3 linked regions of the Ovis aries genome follow. The protein of the gene in region 3 purifies or fractionates together with the protein of the main gene of each other region. This does not show direct contact. Links are inferred from orthologs where the notes say so. Each region holds a gene or a part of one and is shown on either strand. Other genes may lie near its edges.

Evidence for each region.
Region 1: the proteins of OS9 (region 3) and SERPINA1 purify together in Homo sapiens (affinity purification with western blotting; 4 studies listed by BioGRID). This does not show direct contact. The link is inferred for Ovis aries from reciprocal best matches to the Homo sapiens genes OS9 and SERPINA1.
Region 2: the proteins of OS9 (region 3) and DERL2 purify together in Homo sapiens (affinity purification with western blotting; 3 studies listed by BioGRID, with this or other methods). This does not show direct contact. The link is inferred for Ovis aries from reciprocal best matches to the Homo sapiens genes OS9 and DERL2.

The regions. Positions count from the first base shown.
Region 1 is NC_056071.1:56,847,531-56,852,116, forward strand, and holds the start of SERPINA1 (alpha-1-antiproteinase), read right to left. Parts: upstream 3,112-4,586; 5' UTR 3,021-3,111; intron 794-3,020; exon of another isoform or gene 725-793; intron 1-724.
Region 2 is NC_056064.1:25,956,105-25,960,690, reverse strand, and holds the start of DERL2 (derlin-2), read right to left. Parts: upstream 2,692-4,586; 5' UTR 2,665-2,691; coding exon 2,572-2,664; intron 1,709-2,571; coding exon 1,643-1,708; intron 1-1,642.
Region 3 is NC_056056.1:161,936,804-161,941,289, reverse strand, and holds part of OS9 (protein OS-9), read left to right. Parts: intron 1-3,525; coding exon 3,526-3,736; intron 3,737-3,854; coding exon 3,855-3,959; intron 3,960-4,179; coding exon 4,180-4,280; intron 4,281-4,481; coding exon 4,482-4,486. UniProt on the Homo sapiens protein: Lectin component of the HRD1 complex, which functions in endoplasmic reticulum (ER) quality control and ER-associated degradation (ERAD).

The sequences.
Region 1 (4,586 bases), on a different chromosome or scaffold from region 3:
GTAACTACCTCAGAGGATTGCCATGAGGCTTAAATAGAGGCTGCCTGTGCAGAGTGGGGGCTCAGGAATACACTCAAAGCCCACACCCAGGACAGTGGTCTCCCCCGCTCCCCATCTTCCGCGGCACACAAAGATGGCCAGGGGCCCGCTGTGCACAGGGGTGCCCGCTTCGGTAACTCCAGGCTAAGACCTGGTACGGTTCTGTTCTGGGCACTTCTGCAGAGAATGGAGGCAGCTGAAACTCAGAGCTTCCCGTCCGACCTGGCTTCCCTACCAGGTTGCTCTGTGAGCCTGGACTACTCACTGTCCCTCCCTGAGCCTTATCGTTCTCATCTGTAGAAGCGAGAAAAGATACACACCCAAGCAAATGCAGAGGCGGCGAGACCTACAGAAGACACCGACGGGACAAGACCTACAGAAGACCACCGACGGGAAAGATACAGGAGCTGCGCCAGCAGAAACATACTCCCTCCTAGGTCGCTGGATGCCAAAGCCAGCCCCCACCCCCTCACTTCCACTTCTGCTCGCAGAGGGCCCCTTTAGTCACCAGGAGGAATTGGGGAGGCCCTGGATAGGCTTGGGAAGCAGGAAAGGACCCCTGGGCTGCTGTTACTATGACAGCAGATGGCCTGGCCCCAGCCTGCTCCATCCTCCTTGCATCCCCAAGGCTTGCCTGGGGAGCGCAGGGTCCTGGAGGCCCCTGGCCAGTGGAAGGCATACTTACGATTCACTGTCCCAGGTCAGGGCTGCTGACTGAGGCTGAGGAGACAGAGCCCTGTCCTTGCCCCTATTTAACCACTGGACCCAGAAGGGCGAAGGGGGAGGCTGCTGGTAAACATTAACCAAGGTCACCCCAGTTATCAGAGGAACAAACAAGGACTAAGTCCATCGGCTGGACACTGGACTGCCTGCTCACGTTGTCCAGCGGTGCTCCTTCTGGGCGGCACGCAGCCCTGTGCTCCATATCCCTGAGAGAGTCTTTGTGCCCAGCTCATAAACCACAGCATCCTGCATCCAAGCTGGGGTGGCATTGATGCCGACATTCTAGGGGATGGCATGATTTTGCTGGCCTGCAATCCACTGGGGAGCTCTCAGTTGCTGCTTCATCAGTAGCAAGAGCTACCACTGATGGAGCCACCTTGAAATGCCCAATGCTCACTGCTGGGATTTCCCTGGTAGTCCAGTGGTTAAGAATTTGCCTGCCAGTGCAGGGGACATAGGTTCGATCCCTGGTCAGGGGAGATTCCGTATGCTGTGGGGCAACTATCCCATACAGTGACTGCTGGAGCCTGTGCCCTAGAGACCGTGGCCCGTAACCAGAGAAGCCGCTGCGATGGGCAGGCCGTGCACCACAACTAGAGTAGCCCCTTTGCCACAGCAAGAGGAAGCAGCAGCGAAGAGCCAGCATAGCCAAAAAAAAATTAAAAAACAAACAAACAAAAGGCCCACTGCTGAAGATGCAAGGGGTAGAGAATGTTATGAGCTCAGCTGGCAGATAGAGAAACTGGTCATCTACCTCAAGTCACCAAGCAGACACAAAACCGCTCTCGCCTTCCCTGGAAAGAAAATGGGTCCTGACTGCAGTTGACACAGCTACCTAAGGCTGATATGGGTGGCATGGGCACAGGCCCAGGGTCAGAGAGTAAATCTATAGAGGGTTGTGTGGCCTCAGGCAAGCTGGTCCATCTCTCTGAAACATGGGGTAGTTTCATTTGCATCCTAAGGCCTTGGAAGTCCCACTTCCAGCTCATTGCCAGGGATGTGGAACTCACTTATGTAAAGCACTGGGCACATACTAGGCTCTTGATTTTGATCTGCACAGCCCTCTGCTCACACCTGCTCACCAAGCTTCTCCAGGTGGGAGGAGGTGCAATTCCTGGCCAGCCTCAGGCCTGTTTCTGTTTCCGCTGGATCTGGCTTCCGGCCAGCTAACTCGACCCACAGGCTGCCTGAATTTTCCTGGGACCTGTGGCTCCATCCAGGAGCTACGGCTGGCTTTTGGGGGCACTGGTGGTGGCCAGGGTGGTAGTGTGGGATTGAGGCCAGTGGGGCCCTACTGGGGTGGTGCATGTAGTTTGATGCCAGTCGCCTTGGGCTTTTCAGTGGGTTAGAGTCCATTTAGAAGCCTGAGGCAGTTGGCATCATGCTGTGTGCACCGCCCTACACACCCTTGGCACGCCATGTACACTCGGTATTTGTTGAGCCAGTGGACAAGTGTGTCTTTGTCCTCCGCTCATCCCCTGGCCCCAGCTATGGGACTGTGCCTGGCGAATAGCCTGTAGGTTCCTCTACTACACAGGTTTAGACCAGGGAACCCAGCATCCCCACTCACTGGCTGTGAGATCTCAGGTGAGTCATTTAATCGCTTCATGCCTGTTTCCCCATCTGTAAAATGGGGATGTGACAGTTTGTACCTCGCTGGGCTGCTGTGAGGATTAAATGCAGCAGTTTCAGAGCTCAGAGCCCAGCGTCGGGAGCACATGGTGAGCCCTGTGCCCATGGGTCTCCCTGCTGTGATTCTAGGTGGGTGGTCTGGGGATGAGGGGAACATTCCAGGAGCTTCCCTCCAGGCTTCCCTTACTCAGTCCTCTCAGTGTCCCTGTGAGGAGAGTGTGTACCACACACCCCCCCAATATAGGAGCAGAAATGAGTCCAGGGAGGGAAGGACTCTCCGCTCCTATCTCTCCAGACTTTCCGATTCCACAAGCTAGCTTCAGAACACTGACTCTTTCTCCTGAGCTGGCTGAAGGAGTTTCTTACCCAGGGCTCTGCACCTACCCGTAGCTTGAAGACCTAGGGTGTGATGAAACAAGGCTTGCCCTCCGTACCTCCTGGACATTTGTTCCCCTCCCCGTGCCTCAGTTTCCCCATCTGTAAAATGGCCTCCCTCCATGCCTGGCTGCCCCTTTCAGCTCTCTCACTGAGTGGGTGTAGGCAAGTGTCCAGGCTGTTGCCACGCTTAGTGCCTCTCAGCCTGGTGTTCTGGGGCAGGTAGGAAGGTGCCCCCCTATCCCCCTTACCTTCAATGCCAGGTTCTTGTGGCAGAAGGAACTCCTCCTCCCCTGGGGCTCCTGGAGGCAGTGTGTGCCCTAAGCGTGGCGTCCAGGCTCTGCCAGCGCAGGAGGAAGGAGCTTCTGGGTGGTTCAGGCAGCAGGTCTGGGAGGGGTGGGGACCCTGGGCAGGAAGCTGCCTTGCACAAAGCTGCCAGGAGCCAGGCAGATGCCAGAAAACCCTTTCCAGCCCAGGCGGTAGTCTTGTGTGTCACCTGTTGTCCCTGCTGTGTCTGGCTGTGTGACCCAGGATGAATCACCCAGTGCCTTTGAGCTTCTGTAAGCGGGCTGGTAGCACCTGGCAGAGCAGATTAAAGGGCATGACAGGCGTCTCCTTTTGGCCCAGAGCCGGGCATCAGCGTTTTGGCAGGTTTTCAGGGCCACCTGTGGAGGGAGGCAGCCTAAGCCACCTCTGAAATGCACAAGGGGAGCCCCACAGAGACTGAGATGGGCTGTGTTTATTGGGGAGGGTGTGTTACAGACGCTGGCTGCAGGAAGAAGGGATGTAAGATCTTAGGGGGGACTGGGGCACTTGGAGGAGGAGTGAAGAAAGGATGTGAGGCAGGGCTGGGGAGAAAGTGAGGGGCTCTGGGTTGGGACCTGTTCCTTTTGAGTCCAGGGCTCCATGCTCAGCCCTTCCTCGTCTCCCCATCCTCCCACTGCCCACTTCTGTAGTATTTCACACTGCAGAGAGCTCCTCTGGACGTGCATCCTGGGAAGGAGCGGTGGGATGATCCGGGAAATTGGGCAAGCACAGAATGCCTGGGGTGGGTCCACCCAGGGGCCATTCTCCAATCACAAATCAGAAGCCAAGCTGGAGAAAGTTCTGTCCACTTGGTTACTTCTGGAACTATTGATTGTTGTATCCAGACTGATTCTCTGGGAGTGAGTGTATCCTAGAAAGATGCTGTGCGCTGGCTGTGAATTGGCGGTGTCGGGGAGACCCTGTCCCCCCATAATCCTGCCTAGATATGGGAGAGGGATGGAAATAAAGATGAAGTGTGAAGTCTGCAGCAGGAAGGGAGTGAGGGGAGGCGTATAGACCAAGTAGATGAAGGACCAGAGGCCCTGCTTGGTCCAGAGAGTGAGGGAGGACTTCAGGGATGCTACATCTGTTGGCAGTTTCCCAGAGAGTGTGGGACCTAGCCTACACTGACTGCCCCAGGCACACACACAGACACATCAATGTACCCCCGATACTCACTATGGGAGCCCCCTTCCAGGCACCAGCTCCCTTCTTCAGGGGGCACTGTGGCTTAGTGGCTCAGGCATGGGCTGGGGGGCTGAGCATCTGGATTTAAGCCTTCACTCCACAACTATCTGATGAGATCTTAGCTAATTAACCTCTTTGCACCCCCATTTCCTCTTCTGTGAGTTGGGGAATAAGAATGACCACTTATACCAGGACTGTGAAGAGCCAGTGTGATGATAACACACAAGACAGTCTCAGGCACAGATGGGCCCTAAGTCAACGCCAAACATGTTTTATCTTTGATATTCTGAGCCCGGAAAACCTCAGATGAATCCCAGGATCTG
Region 2 (4,586 bases), on a different chromosome or scaffold from region 3:
TAAAAAAAAACAACACAAAAATCCATACCATATGGTCAGGCAAATGATGGGAAAAGTGTGATGGCAAGACTAAGTTAATCTGCAGACTAGGAAACAGAGCTTTAATATATGTAGTATCACAATCTAATGAACAATCTCAAGATACCAAAGGAAATTACAGGATCTAACAGCAATTGTTTCTATATTAGCCATCAGAAACATCCAGAATAAAGAGTAATTCTAAAGCAAATACTCGAACAGATATTCTGTTCGAATAGCCTGAACAGACAGCCAACTCACTACAAATAAAGATCTAATACTGTAATAATTAGTTTAACTGGTAGATATGCACTTATTTTCAAACCCTGATATACTCTTCCCCACCCAAATCATCCACGCCTGCAATAAGAACAACTACTCACAATGATAGAACATTTAACATTTTAAAGTGTTTTAAAATATTATTATCTCATGTGATTTTAATTATCCTGTGAGATGAGGAGGCTGACCAATACCATCCCCATTTCACACATGATGTAACTAAGAGACTTGGATGATTTTTAAATGGCCTGCCTAATATCACACAGCTTGCAAAGGGAGGCTCTGAACTCAAACCTAGAACTCCTAATTTCACACATGGTGTGAAGAGTTTAACCTCAGGCAAAATCAAGCCTTGTTTGTTTGGATCGAGCTAAAGCTCCCAGTGAAGGCCTTGTGAGTGCAGAAGGAAGAAGGCAGTGATAAGGGTTCACGGGACTCCTTTACGATCATTAAATTCTTAAGAATTGCTAACTATTAAAGTTGAAACAACTCAGAATTGTTTACTGCATACTAATTGCATCCAGGATTGTAGAGTCCTCAACCTTGTGAGACAGGCATATAAACAAGTGCAAGTATGAGATGAGAGATATAAAAAAAAGTATTTACAGATACTCTAGGGACACAAAGGAGGATGAATCCGAGAAGGCTACACAAAAACTGCATACTGAAAGACAAGCTGGAGCTCAACGGGTACAAAGTGAATGAAACACCTCTGTGACAGAGGAACAGCAGGTGTAGAAACAGACTTTTGAGCCTAGAACAAAAAAAACCCATCCCTCTTTAGCATTCTAATTACTGGAAAGGACTGTCTCTCACTGTAATCTAATAAACTGGCGTTTTCTTAGATGTCAGTCTTTGAGAGGATGATGTGATCCCTGGGAGATGGGTTAGAGCACTTATTGAGTTTCTGAACTGGATCACAGGGATAACACCAAGGTGGTGACTGTGCCACATGGTGCTGGATGGACTACATATGGACATCCTCTCTGACTCTCCCTGGACAACTAGCGGATCCAGTCTCCTCTCAATCTATACTACTAAATCTGAACCAGTGATTCCTAAATATAGGAACTGGACGCATCAAATCAAAACCATACAGGCAACTTTGTAACATAGCCTTGGTGATTCTGATTTGGTATATGCTGAGGATCTTGAGAATCTCTTTAAAAGTTCCAGGCTGCAGAATCATTGCTTTGTACTCCCCCACTGCCCCCCAACACTTATAATCAAATATTCCCACTGAGTTATTTGAGATAGTATATAGCAGGATTAGCTACTTAAAAGTAAGAAAAACAAGTTTAAAAACTGCAACATTAAATGGCAGTTGTGATGGGCCACTTACTTGAAAGTGTTTAAAGATTAATTCAGGATTGAAGTACAACTGAAAAGGTGTGATCAGTTCCAACTGCTGAAATAGAAAAACAACTTCTTCAAGCAAGTCAATCAAGAAACAAAATATCATCATTTACTACAAAAGACTGGCAGTTCTCGCAAATTTCCCACTCTCAGTGACTTAGACTGAATTATTTAAGGTTTACTTCTTAAGCTGGAGGAAGGTTGGTAAAGAGTTCTCTAGAACTGGCACAATTCTTTGCGTTCCCCAATACCTAACACAAAATAAAAGTCTGTTGTTTCAATAGCTGAGGCTGATGTGAAGGTATGGCAGGCAGGTGGTAATGTCTTAAATTCAGGGCAAGTAAGACCAGCTGCTAGGATTATGCCCAATACATGGGCATCACCTAAAACAACTGTGCGAAGCAACAGAATTCACTCGAACCAAGACTCAACACCCTGCCACTGTGAGGGCTGAGTACTTCCAGCCAACCTCTGTAAGTCTCTTTATTTCAAGACTTTTCCCGCTCAACAACTTCCATCTTTCTATCTTCAACGTCTACGTTTCTCCACTAAGCGGACCTTCCTCCCAGTAGTCACAAAGGATCATTCTGTGGCTCTGAGAACACCATCAGAGTTCTCTGACACGTTTCCTGGGTGGGCGGCTCCCGCAGCCCTGACTTGGTACAGGTCCTGCCTTTATGTCTCAGAAACTGACCCGCAGTCCTGATCCTCCACCCCTTATGGAACAGCACCTCTTTTTCTGGATCACTGGATAGTACTTACGGGGCGATACTGAACCCCAGAGTGAGCCCTGTACGCCTCCACCCACCCTTGAGACCAACCACTCTGAGCTTCCCCAAGGCCCAAACCCCAGTTTCCCGAGGACCCGGGCATATCCAGTACAACTCATGAGAAGCTGGCGCTGCAGCTGCTCACCACAGCGGCGGTGGTGAGGACGCAGGCGGTGGTATAGGCACGGCTGACCGGTGGGATCTGCAGGTACTCCAGCCGGAGGCTCTGGTACGCCATCTTCCCCACCGCCGCCGGCCCCCCCCCACCCCCCACTTCCCCTTCCGCCAGTCCATCCCAGCGGCGGGGCGGGATCAGGGCGGAACCAGAGCGGGGCCCTCCCCGTTACGCTGCTATCCAATCAGCGCTGATCAACCGTCCAGCCACCAACCGCTAGAGCCCGAAGAAAAGCACATCCGCCAATCACGAGTTGCGTTTCCGCGGCGGCCCAGCCTAACTTCTCCACCCACCAACGTCTTGGGGAAGGGAGTGAATACCGATTCCTTCTGCCAATCCCCGCCGGCCACAGCTAGCTTTCCCGCCCGGCTCCTTTCCGTCACCAATCTAGGTGGCCCCCTCCCCAGACAGTCGGCCAATTAGGAGCGCGGGGGCATCCTGCCCTTGCTGTCGTTCGCTAAAGCAGAGAGCGGTCAGAATCTGGGGGAGTCAACCGCGCCGCCTATCTCTGGCAGCCTGCGGTGGTTTAAAGAGGTGGCGGGAAGCTGGTGTTTGGTCGAATTCATCACTCTTATAGTCGCTTGGGTAAGTATCCACGGGGCTGCATTTTCTCTGAAGAAAAGCGGGAACAGGTGGCACTCGGTGGGGCGCCATCCCGGGCGCTAGAGCGGCCTGATGGAGCAGCGTCTCCAGCGGGCCGCGAACCTCCACCCTGAAGGTCCCGGCATGCAGCGGGGGCGCGGGGCCTGTCGGGAGCCACTTCTCAAGCCGGAAGTAGTTCCTGCCCGGAGGTTTCTGGAGCTTCGGCTCCTCAACTCGCTGAGGTGACCGGTGTACTTCCCGCGTATCACCTGCAATATCGGTTGAAGCCTTACTCATCCTGCCCTCAGGAAATCTAAGGCTTGCAGAGAAGATAGGCTTGTGATAATAGTAACCTAAAGCAGGACTTGGGGTCGCAAAGAGTAGGTCACGACTGAGCGACTTGAACTGAACTGAAAGCAGAACTTGATCAGTTCCCGAAGAGAGGCCCTGTTGGTTTAACGTGGATTTTTTAGTTTGGAGGCTTGTTTAGGATTGGGTAGAGCTCATGAAAAGCAGTCCAGTATTGGTAGAAACTGCTGAAGCAAGAATTTCAGAGAATCTTGCTGTAACAAATTGTTGGCGAGATTCCCTGGACTAGGAAATGGCAACACACTCCAGTATTCTTGCCTGGAAAATTCCATGGACAGAGGCTCCTGGCGGCCTGCAGTCTATGGGATCTAAAGAGTCAGACACGGGGAGAGCACGCATGCCACGCATCCCATTAAAGAGTTCATCAGTCTTTGGCTGGGGGTTTCATAATGAACAACCATTTGGACAATAAAAATAATATTCTGGTCAAGAATAGTAGAGTCATGCTAATGGAAACAGTAAGTTGTTGGGTGGGGCAAGGAGGCTCTTTGGTAGTTTCAGTCCTCAGTGTTCAACCTGTGTGTGTGTATGGGTGGGGCAGGGAGGAGGGGGGGAGGGGGTTAGATGTTTTTGGTTTTCAAGAAACAACGCTGTAAAACCATTTCACCAGATTGGCAAAAATTAGAAGCATTAATTACTTCACATGCTTATGTAAGGCATCTGGTTCCATCACTTCATGGGAAATAGATGGGGAGCAGTGGAAACAGTGTCAGACTTTATTTTGGGGGGGCTCTAAAATCACCGCAGATGGTGATTGCAGCCATGAAATTAAGAGACACTTACTCCTTGGAAGGAAAGTTATGACCAACCTAGAGAGCATATTCAAAAGCAGAGACATTACTTTGCCAACAAAGGTCTGTCTAGTCAAGGCTATGGTTTTTCCTGTGGTCATGTATGGATGTGAGAGTTGGACTGTGAAGAAAGCTGAGCACCGAAGAATTGATGCTTTTGAACTGTGGTGTTGAAGACTGTTGAGAGTCCCTTGGACTGCAAGGAGATCCAACCAGTTCATCTGAAGGAGACCAGTCTTGGGT
Region 3 (4,486 bases):
TTTTTATAAAAAATGTATTTTATTGAAATATAATTGATTTACAGTGTTGTTTTAATTTCTGCTGTAGAGCAAAGTGACACACATATATACATTCTTTTTCATAATTATTTTCCATTATGGTTTATCACAGGATATTGGATTAGTTCCCTGTGCTATACAATAGGACCTTGTGTATCCATTCTGTACATAATACTTTGCATCTGCTTGGGCTTCCCTGGTGGCTCAGATAGTAAAGAATCCACCTGAAGTGTGGGAAACCTGGGTTCGATCCCTGCATTGGGAAGGTCCCCTGGAGAGGGGAATGGCTGCCCACTCCAGCATTCTGGCTGGAGAATTCCACTGGCAGAGGAGCCTGGCAGGCTACAGTCCATGGGGTCACAAAGAGTTGGACACGACTGCTCGACTTTCACTTTTGAATCTGCTAGCTTCAAACCTCCAGTCCTTCTCTTCTCCACCTCCCCTCCCCCTTGGCAATCACAAGTCTGTTCTCTATGTCTGTGAGTAGATTTCTGTTTCATAGATAAGTTCATTTGCATCATATTTTAGATTTATGTGATATAATAAGGTATTTGTCTCTTTCCAAATCACTTCATTTAGTATGATAATCTCTAGAGGTCCATCCATGTTGCTGCGAATGCCATTATTTCATTCTTGTTCACAGCTGAGTAGTATTCCAGTGTGCGTATGCACCACATCTTTATCCATTGATCTGTCAATGGACATTTAGGTTGTTTCCATGTTTTGGTTTTTGTAAATAGTGTTGCTGTGAACATAGGGGGTGCATGTATCTTTTTTAATTATAGGAGAACATACTTTATATGATTTAAATTTTTAGCTCTTTGAATTTATCATAATGACTACTTTAAAATGTTTCTCTCTGAAATCTAACATCTGTCTCCTCTCACAGGCATTTTCTGTTGCCTGCTTTTTCCGTGTATGGATCACACTTTGTTTCTTTGCATGTGCATCTCATAATTTTTTGCTGAAAAGTGAACAAAAATATATTAAAATATACCTAAAATATTTTAGGTAATATATTGGAGCAAGTTTGGATACTAATTCTTGGCCTCCACCATGAGACATGTTTTGGTCATTTGCTTGTTTCTTTCGTGACTTGGCTGAGCTATTTTAGTGAGGCCTACTCCTCTTGCAGTATGAAGCCCTGTGTCACTCCTCTGAGGGCACAGCCATGGGCATGCACACAGCCGCAGTTCATGATGGTGTGTCAGCAGGGCTCCCTGTGACTGTCTCTCTTGCTGATGTGTTAATCTGTCTGCCTCTGCCTATATCATACCCAGCTGTTCATACTCATTAATTGCTAGCCAATTGCTCTGTAGTTTTTGACATGTGGGGCATAAGTTGCGCCATAATCTGATCCAATTAAATTTGGGCTTCTGTACCAGGGTTGTTTTTTATGATGCCAGCCTCTTCTTTAGTGCTTACCTCCAATTTTTTTCATTTTTTGGAAAGTGCCCTTAGGCTTAAACTTCCTCATACTGTTTCACAAGAAGTCAGTTCATTTGGAAAGACCTTTGGAGCTTTCTGTTCTAGTGGATTGCCTCTCCCCCTGGCAGAATCTCTAAGCCCCTGCTCTGGAGCTGATGTCAGAGACACTGACCCAGTTCTGTCAGAGTGACGCTCCTGTTTTATGAGCAGAGACCTGGGCAGGGGTGATAGCCTCTGGTCCTCTCAGTTCTCATCTCTGTTGTGAAGCCTCTGCCCTTTCAGTGATCTGTGGTGAGGGTGATCAAGGCCCAGTATTCCTGTCCTTCTGCTCCTGAGGTGCAGCCACTGTCCTATGAGCGGGGCTGGGTGGAGGGAGTCCTCAGTCTCTTGACCGTATTCAGCAGGTATTCTCTGCAACTTGTAACTAGAGAGGATTGAGGAATATTGGTGGCCTGCCCCTCTGGTGACATACCATATCTCTTGACTGGTTGCTGAGGGGATAGAAGCCCCATTTTTTGGAACTTACTCACCTGGAATGGAGCATCTGTCTGAGCTGTGAAGTCAGGGTTGAGAGAAAAGAAGGAGGGTCATGGCCCAAGTACTATAAACTTACACTATTCAAGATTTAGTGGATTTTCTTGAATAGATGTTTCTTAATTTGTTGTACGTCCTTAGGAAAATTTCCAGAGATTTTAAATGCCTGAGTTAAAAAAAAAAAAAAAAGTGTTCACCAGTTATGGAATTTCACTAGGGAGTGGATCTGCAGAGCTCCTTGGGCGGCCACTCAGAAGTGGGACCTCTCTTCTACTTGTAACAGTTACTTTAGAAATTACAGAGTGTGTGTGTGTGCAAGCTCAGTCGTGTCCAACTCTTTGCAACTCCATGTCACACAGAGTCGGACACGACTGAAGCGACTTAGCAGCAGTAGCAGCAGTAGCAGCCCTGCCAGGCTCCTCTGTCCATGAAATTTCCCAGGCAAGAATATTGGAGTGGGTTGCCATTTCCTCTTCCAGGGGATCTTCCTGAACCGAGGATCGAACCCACATCTCTTGCATTGGCAAGCGAATTCTTTACTGCTGAGCCACCAGGGAAGCCCCAGAAATTACAGGGGTGAATCCTAACTAATCAAAGGCTAACGTTAATTGATATCTTTACTCTCTTTCTGATTAATACAAAGACCTTAGAACTGTTTAAAGTTTTTTTAAATCATACACACATGCACACACACACAGAATATACATATTTCAAATACATATAAAAATATATATCAAATATGTATAAGTATGTACATACTGTATTTACATAAAGCAAGAACATGAAACAGAAATCAGCTGGTTACCTACAGTTAAGTTGCCCAAGTTCAATTCGTATTTTTACCACTTACCAGCTGGTCAGCCTGAACAAGTCCCTCAACTATATCAAACCCCTGTATCTTGAGCCACAGAGTTGAGATAATGTTACCTCCCTCACTGGGTTGTCATGATAATTAAATGAGCTAATGCATGTAAGGGCTTCCCTGGTGGCTCAGAGGTTAAAGCGTCTGCCTCCAATGCGGGAGACCCGGGTTCTATCCCTAGGTCGGGAAGATCCCCTGGAGAAGGAAATGGTAACCCACTCCAGTATTCTTGCCTGGAGAATCCCATGGATAGAGGAGCCTGGCAGGCTACAGTCCACGGGGTCGCAAAGAGTCAGACAGGACTGAGCGACTTCACTTCACCTCAATGCATGTAAAGGGCTCCCCTGGTGGCTCAGTGGTAAAGAATCCACCTGCCAGTGCAGGAGACGGGGGTTCCATCCCTGGGTCAGAAGATCTCCTGGAGAAGGAAACGGCAACCCACTCCAGTATTCTTGCCTGGGAAATCCCATGGAGGGAAGAGCCTGTCAGGCTATAGTCCATAGGGTTGCAAAAAAGATCCAATGTAGCAACTAAACACTAACAATGCATATATAGCACCATATACACAAGGCACAGAGCACAGTGCCTGCCAGACTGTAAGTCCTCAATAGCAGACAACTGTTTTCAGAATAACAGTAATGGTTGGTGGTGATTACTATTTATTCATCCTCCTGTCCTGGCAGTTCCTCTGTGATGAGGGTGCTGGTATCTCTGGGGACTACATTGACCGAGTAGATGAGCCCTTGTCCTGTTCTTACGTGCTGACCATTCGAACTCCTCGGCTCTGCCCTCACCCACTCCTTCGGCCCCCACCCAGTGCTGCTCCCCAGGCCATTCTCTGCCACCCCGCCCTGCAGCCTGAGGAGTACATGGCCTACATTCAGAGGCAAGCTGGTGAGTACTTAAAGGAGGACAGGGAGGAAGCAGACACAGAGGGAGGGACAGGCAGAAGATCAAGTATCAAGGAGCTGAGAACGTGTCCTCGTCCCGCGGACATGCCATCTTCCGGTAGACTCAAAGCAGTACGGAGACAGGGCCCTAGAGGGGCGGCGGCAAGACCCGGACCCTCCAGTGTGGAGTGAGACCAAGCCTGGGGTGGTGCCACCAAAGAAAGCAGGTAGGTCCTTGAGTCACCTGTTTCGTGACACACGTCTCCACTTCTTCCTTTCTTCAGTGTTACTGTCCTGTGCACCCAGGGATGTGTTGTCTTCAACAGCCCAACAGCCCTGACTTTTGGGGTGGGGGAAGGAGTACTACAGGCCCTAACCCCTCACAATAGAAGAGGGAAACATATCCCATCTATCCTTTCAGGTTTCTCTTTGTTTTCTGTATTCTAGGTGCAAGCCCAGCCAAGGAGAACAGTAAAGAATCAGATTTCTGGAAGATGCTTCACGAGCCAGAGGAACAGCCCCAAGAAAGGGAGGAGACACAGGCTGAGGTGAGAGCCAGCTTCCTAGCCACCTCTCTGAGGAGGCTGAACATGGGCTTTGGGTCGGAGGGCCACTCAAGCCGAGGTTCATTATGAGATGACCTCTTTTTATCTAGGGATGCAAGACCATACCCAGAGGCAGTGCCTTAAGAGTTTGGTTGGCATGCAGAGAAGCCTGTGTACTTGACTCTGCCCTTTTCTCCCCATCAGGAGCA